Macaca fascicularis: one gene and its partner. The protein of the gene in region 1 interacts with the protein of each later gene in a pairwise test. Links are inferred from orthologs where the notes say so. Each region holds a gene or a part of one and is shown on either strand. Other genes may lie near its edges. The genes, in order: CREB1 and TSSK4.

Region 1 (3,814 bases):
TTTCTTCTACAATTGTTTTATATAACTAAGGATACATCCATTACTTGACTTCTATCTTTTTAATTTTGTTTTAATGAATTGTGTTTTATTGAAAGCTATCTCAAACATTTTGAGAATAATAAAATATATACATAAATATTATAGAGAAAAACCAGTAGGATTAGACTTCATTTTCCAAAGTATTTTCATATACATGACCTCATTTGATATTTACAAAATTGTACTTAGTGGCTAGAACTCAGATGCTTTTATTTTTAGAGAAGAGATAACAGAATCAAATAACAGTTTAGTGATGGCTGGGCACAGTGGCTCGTGTCTGTGATCCCAACACTTGGGGAGGCCAAGGTGGGAAGACTGCTTGAGGCCAGGAGTTCAAGATCAGCCTGGGCAACATAGCAAAACCCTATCTCTTCAAAAAAATGTTTTTAGAAAATTAGTGGGGCCTGATGGCCTGTGCTAGCTACTTGGGAGGCTGAGGCAGGAGGATCACTTCAGCCCAGCAGTTGGAGGCTACAGTGAGCTGAGATCTTGCCACTGCACTCCAGCCTATAAAACAGAACAAGACCCTGTCTCAAAAGAAAAAAATTAAACTGTTCAGTGATGGAACTCACACTACAACTCAGTCTTGTCATACATGGTTTACTATTTCTGCTTTCTTCTTCCCACCTTGAGTTTACTGCTCTGTAGCCAAGAAGAAAGTGGTATGTTAAATACAGTAGAATTCACTCATTAACTCTAAATGAGAAATTGTGATTTGTTTCTGTTAACCTTCTGATTCTTTCAAGTAATCATGCAAAATTAATCTTAGAATAGTTCTTACTCATTTTTCTCCCTGCCTAAGAGAAGTAAAACTTCTGGGATTCGCTAAACTAGATCCAGTGTATATGCCAGCGTCTTAATTTTCACAAGTATCATTTTGCTAAACTTATCACACTGTAGCCATTAACTCTTCTTATTTCTTGATTAGGCAATAGATAATCAATTTCCCATGTACAGGTGACTCAGGATGTTATATCCCATAGCTGTTGGATAACTGATCCCAAACTAATTCCCTTCTAATGGACATGCTTAATCAGACATGTTGACTTTCCTGCATTGTTTACTTTTTTCTTAGTTAAAATCAGTTGTACAGTTTTATATGTGATATTGTGATTTTCTGTCCTTCTCGTTCTGAAAAGCTTGACCCCCTACAGGGTGAATTGTCTAGAGAGGATATTGCCACCTATCTAAATCCTTCTTCCAAATAAACAATCTAATTTTTAAATTAAATTTTTCTATGTACTGTAGCATAAAGTTGATTTAGTTTTTCATAAAGTGAAATATCTACTAGTATGAGCAAAAGTTGACTGATTTATTGTTTAACAAATGAATGGCAGGTGTGGTTAATTAGGGCGTAAATAACGGGTTCCATATGAAAATGCTTGGATATGTATTAAATAATTTAGAAATTGACAGTAAAAGATTTTTTTTTCTAAGTGATGACCTTGAGCTCTGATTTTAAAATTCCATGAGAGACTGTTGATAATTAAGTTCCATAGGATATTTCAGTTGTTTCATTCAGTAGATTAGATACCATTAATGAATTTCTACAAGAGTTAGGGAATAGAATGCACTGATGAACTGCTTTATTAGTTATATGTTAAAACAACCATTTATTGGGTGCCTATTTCATGGCTGCCACTGTGCTAAGTGTATGAAAGTAGATAAGAAAATTCCTACTCTCCAGAAATTTATTTATTAGTGGGACAAGTGTTAATACATTATGTAGTTAATGCTGAAATAAAGGATCACAGAGTGGAACCTCTGCAGAACCAGATAACTTCAGAAGGAATTTAACATTTTTCCATTTAAAAAATTGTTAACAGGCATTATTATTATAAATTAGAATGCAGTTCATAGAGTGCATTTCTATTGTAGAAATTGAATATGGGTTTCCTGAGCAGCAAGTTACTTGAATATATCAGACACTTCTTGGTGATGTTATTTGCTGTAATTTCTCCTAGACTATTTTACAAATTATTCTACATTGGATTTAGTGTTTTAAAAGTCTTATATGGTATTAAACTTGTAACAATAAAATCCATTGGATTTTAGTTGCCATTACCCAGGGAGGAGCAATACAACTGGCTAACAATGGTACCGATGGGGTACAGGGCCTGCAAACATTAACCATGACCAATGCAGCCGCCACTCAGCCGGGTACTACCATTCTACAGTATGCACAGACCACTGATGGACAGCAGATCTTAGTGCCCAGCAACCAAGTTGTTGTTCAAGGTAAGGGACTTCAGAATTCACAGGTGTGGTAAATTCTTCAAAATACTAAAATTTTATAAACTCACAGAAAAAGTAAGTATCATATTACAAAGCTCCATTCAAATGTAGTTAACATTTCTTCAATATAGATAGTATTTTCCATGAACTCTTCCATTATTCCAATTGGACCAAAATGTCATGGCATAAAAACAACTATTTTCAGTTTTTAAAATATTGCATCTGCCTTTAACATCTTTACTATTTGGGGTAGAAGAAACAGGACAGGTTAGAAGGAAAGACCAGGAAATCAGGAGTTAGAAAAGATGGATTCTATATCTAACTGCATGAATCTGCTATGAGGCCTTGAGTAAAAGCTCCTCTGGGCCTCAGAAAAGTGTTTTTTTTTTGTTTGTTTGTTTGTTTTTTATCGTTTTTGTTTTGTTTTGTTTTCATGTGTAAAATAAGAGTTGCACTAAATCTCTGAAAACAGTCTTTAGAAGTTCAGGATTCTGTTTCTGTGCTTTTTATTCAAAAGAAATTTAAATCTTCTGAGATCATCAGTTTTTATTATTTTTTTTTTTTTTTCTAGAGACATGGTCTCACTGTGTTGCCCAGGCTAGTCTTGAACTCCGGGCCTCAAGTAATCCTCCTTTCTCGGGCTCCCAAAGTGTTGGGATGCCTCTGCACTTGACCCAGTTTTTATTTCAAATGAAAACATTATATTCCACAAAATCTTATACCATCTTATGCTGTTCTTTAGAGAAAAAGTAGTTGTTAAATTCTTGACAAATTATAGAAGTTGCTTTTTTGTTTTTGGGGGTTTTTCTTGTTTTTTTTTTTTTTAGTTTAATTGTTTTTTTCTGTCTGTTTCAGGAATCTTTATGGATATCAGTTAACCATTTTTCTTTGGATTCGTTTGAATATTTCAGGAATATAGTTAATGCCAGGTTAGAAATTTGCTGATTGAGGAAATAATAATAAATCTGTTTCTGAAAATATTTTTATAAATGATAATGTATTTTGCCTGGGTTAGGTAATGACAGTTGTATCCTTTCACCATGGATAATTGAATAATCCTGAAACACCAACTGGAGAGAGTCATAACTTATTTAAAGAGCCCTAATGTTTACAGAATATATTCTGTTATTAAGCGAGTATTTGAAAAAGATACTATTTTGCTTATTGATGAGAGTAAAACACCTTTTCACTTTACATGCAGGTACTCAAAAATTGTAAAGCAGGATGTCAGTGAATTTGAATTCTGAACGTCAGTTTGAAGATGGTAACATGTTTAGTATATAAATCTTTTCCACTCAAAGCATACTTTTTAATTGATATTAATAATTAATATTAATAATTTAATAAAGACCTTCAAATTTTTTAAGTAACATTAGGTTCCTTAGGAGAGCATATTATTACACTGTTTTTAGAAGCAGTTTGACAAATAGTGATTGTGTTTGTTTTTACAAATGGTGAATCAGAAAAATAAAACTTCAGTTTATTTAGTCATTATCATTTACATTAAAACAATATGTTTTCAAATAATATAATTGGCATC
Region 2 (4,413 bases), on another chromosome or scaffold:
CCGTCTCAAAAAAAAAAAAAGGATAAGTAGGGAATAGGAGATTGGGTGGTTTAGGCAGGAGGAACAATATGAGGCTTGTAGGCTTGAGAGAATATGATATTCAGTATTTCTATTTGAATACAGGATAGGGTTCCAGAAGGGGAATGTACCTCGAGAAGTAATTAGGATCCAGGTCTGAGCGGTCTCATATGCCAGGCTATTTTGACTTTACCTTGTATGCTCATATAATCTGGGTATACATCACAATCAGTGCTGGCCGGTCGTGGTGGCTCACGCCTGTAATCTCAGCACTTTGGGAGGCTGAAGCAGGCAGATTATGAGGTCAGGAGATCAAGACCATCCTGGCTAACACGGTGAAACCCTGTCTCTACTAAAAAATACAAAAAAATTAGCCAGGCGTGGTCCGGGCGCCTGTAGTCCCAGCTACTTGGGAGGCTGAGGCAGGAGAATGGCATGAACCTGGGAGGTGGAGCTTGCAGTGAGCTGAGATTGCGCCACTGCACTCCAGCCTGGGAGACAGAGCGAGACTCTGTCTCAAAAAAAAAAAAAAAAAAAAAAAAAACGAAAACAAAATCAGTGCTTATTTTTTTGAGACAGAGTTTGGTTCTTGTTGCCCAGACTGGAGTGCAATGGTACAGTCTCAGATCACCGCAACCTCCGCCTCCCGGGTTCAAGCGATTCTCCTGCCTCAGCCTCCCAAGTAGCTGGGATTATAGGCATGAGCCACCATGCCCGGCTAATTGTTTTGTATTTTTAGTAGAGACGTGGTTTCACCATGTTGGCCGGGCTGGTCTCGAACTCCTGACCTCAGGTGATCCACCCACCTCGGCTTCCTAAAGCGCTGGGATTACAGGTGTGAGCCACTGAGCCCGGCCTCAGTGCTTGCTTTAAAAAAAAGAAAAGAAAATGCTGATGACCAGGTAACCCCTCTCCTGAGAATCCTGATTTTAAAAAAGTAGAGAACTTTTATATCTAGCTGGAGGATCGTATGTGCACTAGTCAGCACTCTGTGTCTAGCTCAGGGTTTGTGAATACACCAATTGGTACTCTGTATCTAGCTAATCGAATGGAGACTTGGAGGACTAGCACTCTGACTCTGTGTCCAGCTCAAGGATTGTAAATGCACCAATTGGCACTCTGTGTCTAGCTCAAGGTTTGTAAATACACCAATCAGTACTCTGTGTCTAGCTCAAAGTTTGTAAACATATCAATTGGTACTCTGTATCTAGCTAACACTGTATCTAGCTAACTAGCACTCTGTGACCCTGTGTCTAGCTCAAGGATTGTAAACGTACCAATCAGCACTCTGTCAAATCGGACCAATCAGCTCTCTGTAAAATGGACCATCAGCAGGATGTGGGTGGGGCCAGATAAGGGAATAAAAGCAGGCTGCCCGAGCCAGCAGTGGCAACCCGCGGGGGTCCCCTTCCACCCTGTGGAGGTTTTGTTCTTTCACTCTGTAATAAATCTTGCTGCTGCTCACTCTGGGTCCATGCTGCCATGAGCTGTAACACTCAAGGCGAAGGTCTGCAGCTTCATTCCTGAAGCCAGCAAGACTACAAACCCACCGGGAAGAACAAACAACTCCTGAGGCACTTCCTTTAAGAGCCGTAACACTCACCACGAAGGTCTACAGCTTCACTCCTGACAGCAAGACCACGAACCCGCCAGAAGGAAGAAGCTCCAGACACATCTGAACGTCTGAAGGAATAAACTCCGGACACACCATCTTTAAGAACTGTAACACTCAATGTGAGGGTCCACGGCTTCCTTCTTGAAGTCAGTGAGACCAAGAACCCACCAATTTCGGACACACTTGGATTACAGGTGTGAGCCCACTGTGCCCGACCTCAGTTCTTTTTCTAATTACAAAATTCACTGATTGTCTAAAAAACTCCACCATCTACTTCTTTGACCCTCACCTATGTCTGCAGGGAGATGAACTGGGTCATAAAGGGCAGTAATTGTAGAAGCAGGTAAATTAAGGGCTTTTCAGGCCAGAAGTCATTTGTGATTTTTCCACTGTGCTTCTTCCCCTGGGGAGAGAGAACCTTAAGTCCACTTCCTTACACGTTGCTCCCAGGTGGCGAAACAGAAGTCACTACTCAAAGGTCCAATTTTCAAGGGGAACTCCCTAGACGGCAGATCCCCTTTAAAATCGCTGAGATAAACACAAGAGTAAACTTTTTCAAAATAATTTGCCATAGAAAGTTAAGAGAAGCCCAAAGACATACACAGTGATAAATAAGAACAAAAACATAGAAGAAGACTAACGGACCGCGAGATACTTTACCAATTAACAATAACCGTGTCAGGCTGCCCAACTCAGAGAGTGAAAGGACAGACACCCTCTCTCCTTGGGCGCCTCTGCGCCAGACCGGGTTTCGGCTTGCTTATGGTGGGGCACTGAACGCTCACTGTGCGGCCAGGGAAGTCTCCAGCATAGCCTCTGGAAGACATTCCTATTACATATTTATTACTTTGGCGCGGGCCATTCGTGACAGGTGGGAGAGGAGTGAGGTGAGATTCAGACGGTGGGACCCTTGCATGGGACAGATGCCCAGAGCCCCTTCCCCAGTTGGGGGGCCACGAACCGCCTCGCAGGGCTCAGCAGCTGGTGGTTCAGCTGGCAAGTGCCTCGAACAAAGCCGCCGCCTGCGCTCCATCTCCCCGGCCCTCGCTAGGCTCTTGCCTGCGGGTACACCTCTCGGGCCTCGGCCAGGGCGAGCCTCCTGGCCAAGAGCTCTCAAACCCCAAATCTTTCCCGGAGCAAGCGAGCGGCCTAGATGCCACTCCTCTCCCGAAGGGGCGTCAGGGTCCTGGCTGCCAGGCCTCAGCCCCCTCCCCGGGAAGCCGTCGCGAAGGGGTCCCCAGGGGCTGCAGCGTCTAAGGCCCTCTACATTCAATGCAACAAGCTTTCCGCCAGGCTGAGGTCCCCGCCGCTGAGGGCGGAAGTGGTAAGACTGACGTGTCCTGGGCCGCGCTGCCGATCGCCGGGAGGACCCCCGCCTTGCCCAGGACGGGCGGGGCGAGCCGAGCCTCACGGGGTCGCCGGAGCTGGGCCGGGCCTCCAGATGGAGAAGGCGCAGCGGGGAGTTCTTGAGTAAGCCAGAGCTGTGTCCAGCGCGGTGTAGCCGCAGCTGCAGCTGTCAGGCGCAGCAGCGGGCAACCCCGTGGAGGTCGGTTGGCAGGTCCTCTCCAACCCGCCGCTACCGCGCCGCTCTGGTAGAGACCCCGGCAGGAGCCCAAGGGCAGCTACGGGGCCGCGGAGGCCGCTGGCGCCGCCTCGGCCAGCCCTTCCCGCGCGGTGAGGACCTCGGGGCTATGGCGGGAAGGGACCCGAGGTGCGAGACCGCGCGGCGTTGTCATGGAAACGGGCCAGGGCGCGAAATAGAGGCCCCGGGCCGGACGGGCTGCGGGAGGGATGAACCCCAGGTTGGGAGGATGAGAGAGCTGAAGTGGAGCGGGGTCTTTGGGATAGAGAGAGGCGGGGTAGGGTGGGGGCGGGGAGGGGGTCAATGGGAGCAAGTGGAGCCAGGGGACCTCAGTTCGAGGCACCTGACCTGGGGTTTCTGTAACCTCCCTGGTTTCTGTAACCTCAGGATTCCCCCAAACAGGTTCCACTGCCTTAAGGATGACAGTCATAGGGAACCCTCGAAGTTGGAGCTGCCAGTGGTTGCCAATCCTGATACTGTTGCTGGGCACAGGCCATGGGCCAGGGGTGGAAGGCGTGACACACTACAAGGCCGGCGACCCTGTTATTCTATATGTCAACAAAGTGGGACCCTACCATAACCCTCAGGAAACTTACCACTACTATCAGCTTCCAGTTTGCTGCCCTGAGAAGATACGTCACAAAAGCCTTAGCCTGGGTGAAGTGCTGGATGGGGACCGAATGGCTGAGTCTTTGTATGAGATCCGCTTTCGGGAAAACGTGGAGAAGAGAATTCTGTGCCACATGCAGCTCAGTTCTGCACAGGTCAGCCTCTCCACATTGGCTATCATGTAGCCCTCCTTCCCAGAGACTAACAGTGCCTTACATATATGGTTCAGGGTACCTTTATGGAAATTGTCTGATTTGATTCTAACTACAATACAACCCAGTGTGGCAGGCAGGGTAGGTGATGCTATTCTAATTCAGTTGACTAAGTTACGAACTTGCTTAGAAGTTACTTTTTTCAAGATTACATTGACAGTGAATTGCAGAACTGATATCAGAGCCCAGGGTTTCTTACTGCAAGCTTCTCTGTTGGTCATGAGGTCCCAACTATCAGTCCTACATATTTCTGTTTCCTTCCATGCCTACCTCTTGGCTGTTTCTTAACTGTTTTCCTGTAGTCTCTACCTAACCTTCCCTGTCATGCTTTTTCTTTAGTGAATCCTGGTACTTCTTAGTCCACTCCAGACTTCCTT

Evidence for each region.
Region 2: the proteins of CREB1 (region 1) and TSSK4 interact in binary tests that used the Homo sapiens proteins (3 or more experiments, as listed by UniProt). The link is inferred for Macaca fascicularis from reciprocal best matches to the Homo sapiens genes CREB1 and TSSK4.

Annotation. Positions count from the first base shown.
Region 1 is NC_088386.1:103,521,448-103,525,261, forward strand, and holds part of CREB1 (cyclic AMP-responsive element-binding protein 1), read left to right. Parts: intron 1-2,094; coding exon 2,095-2,277; intron 2,278-3,475; coding exon of another isoform or gene 3,476-3,492; exon of another isoform or gene 3,493-3,498; coding exon of another isoform or gene 3,499-3,538; intron 3,539-3,814.
Region 2 is NC_088381.1:92,011,453-92,015,865, reverse strand, and holds the start of TSSK4 (testis-specific serine/threonine-protein kinase 4), read right to left. Parts: upstream 2,939-4,413; 5' UTR 1,622-2,938; intron 1-1,621. Other genes in the region: TM9SF1 (transmembrane 9 superfamily member 1), read left to right, coding at 3,635-3,979. UniProt on the Homo sapiens protein: Serine/threonine kinase which is involved in male germ cell development and in mature sperm function. May be involved in the Cre/Creb signaling pathway. Phosphorylates CREB1 on 'Ser-133' in vitro and can stimulate Cre/Creb pathway in cells.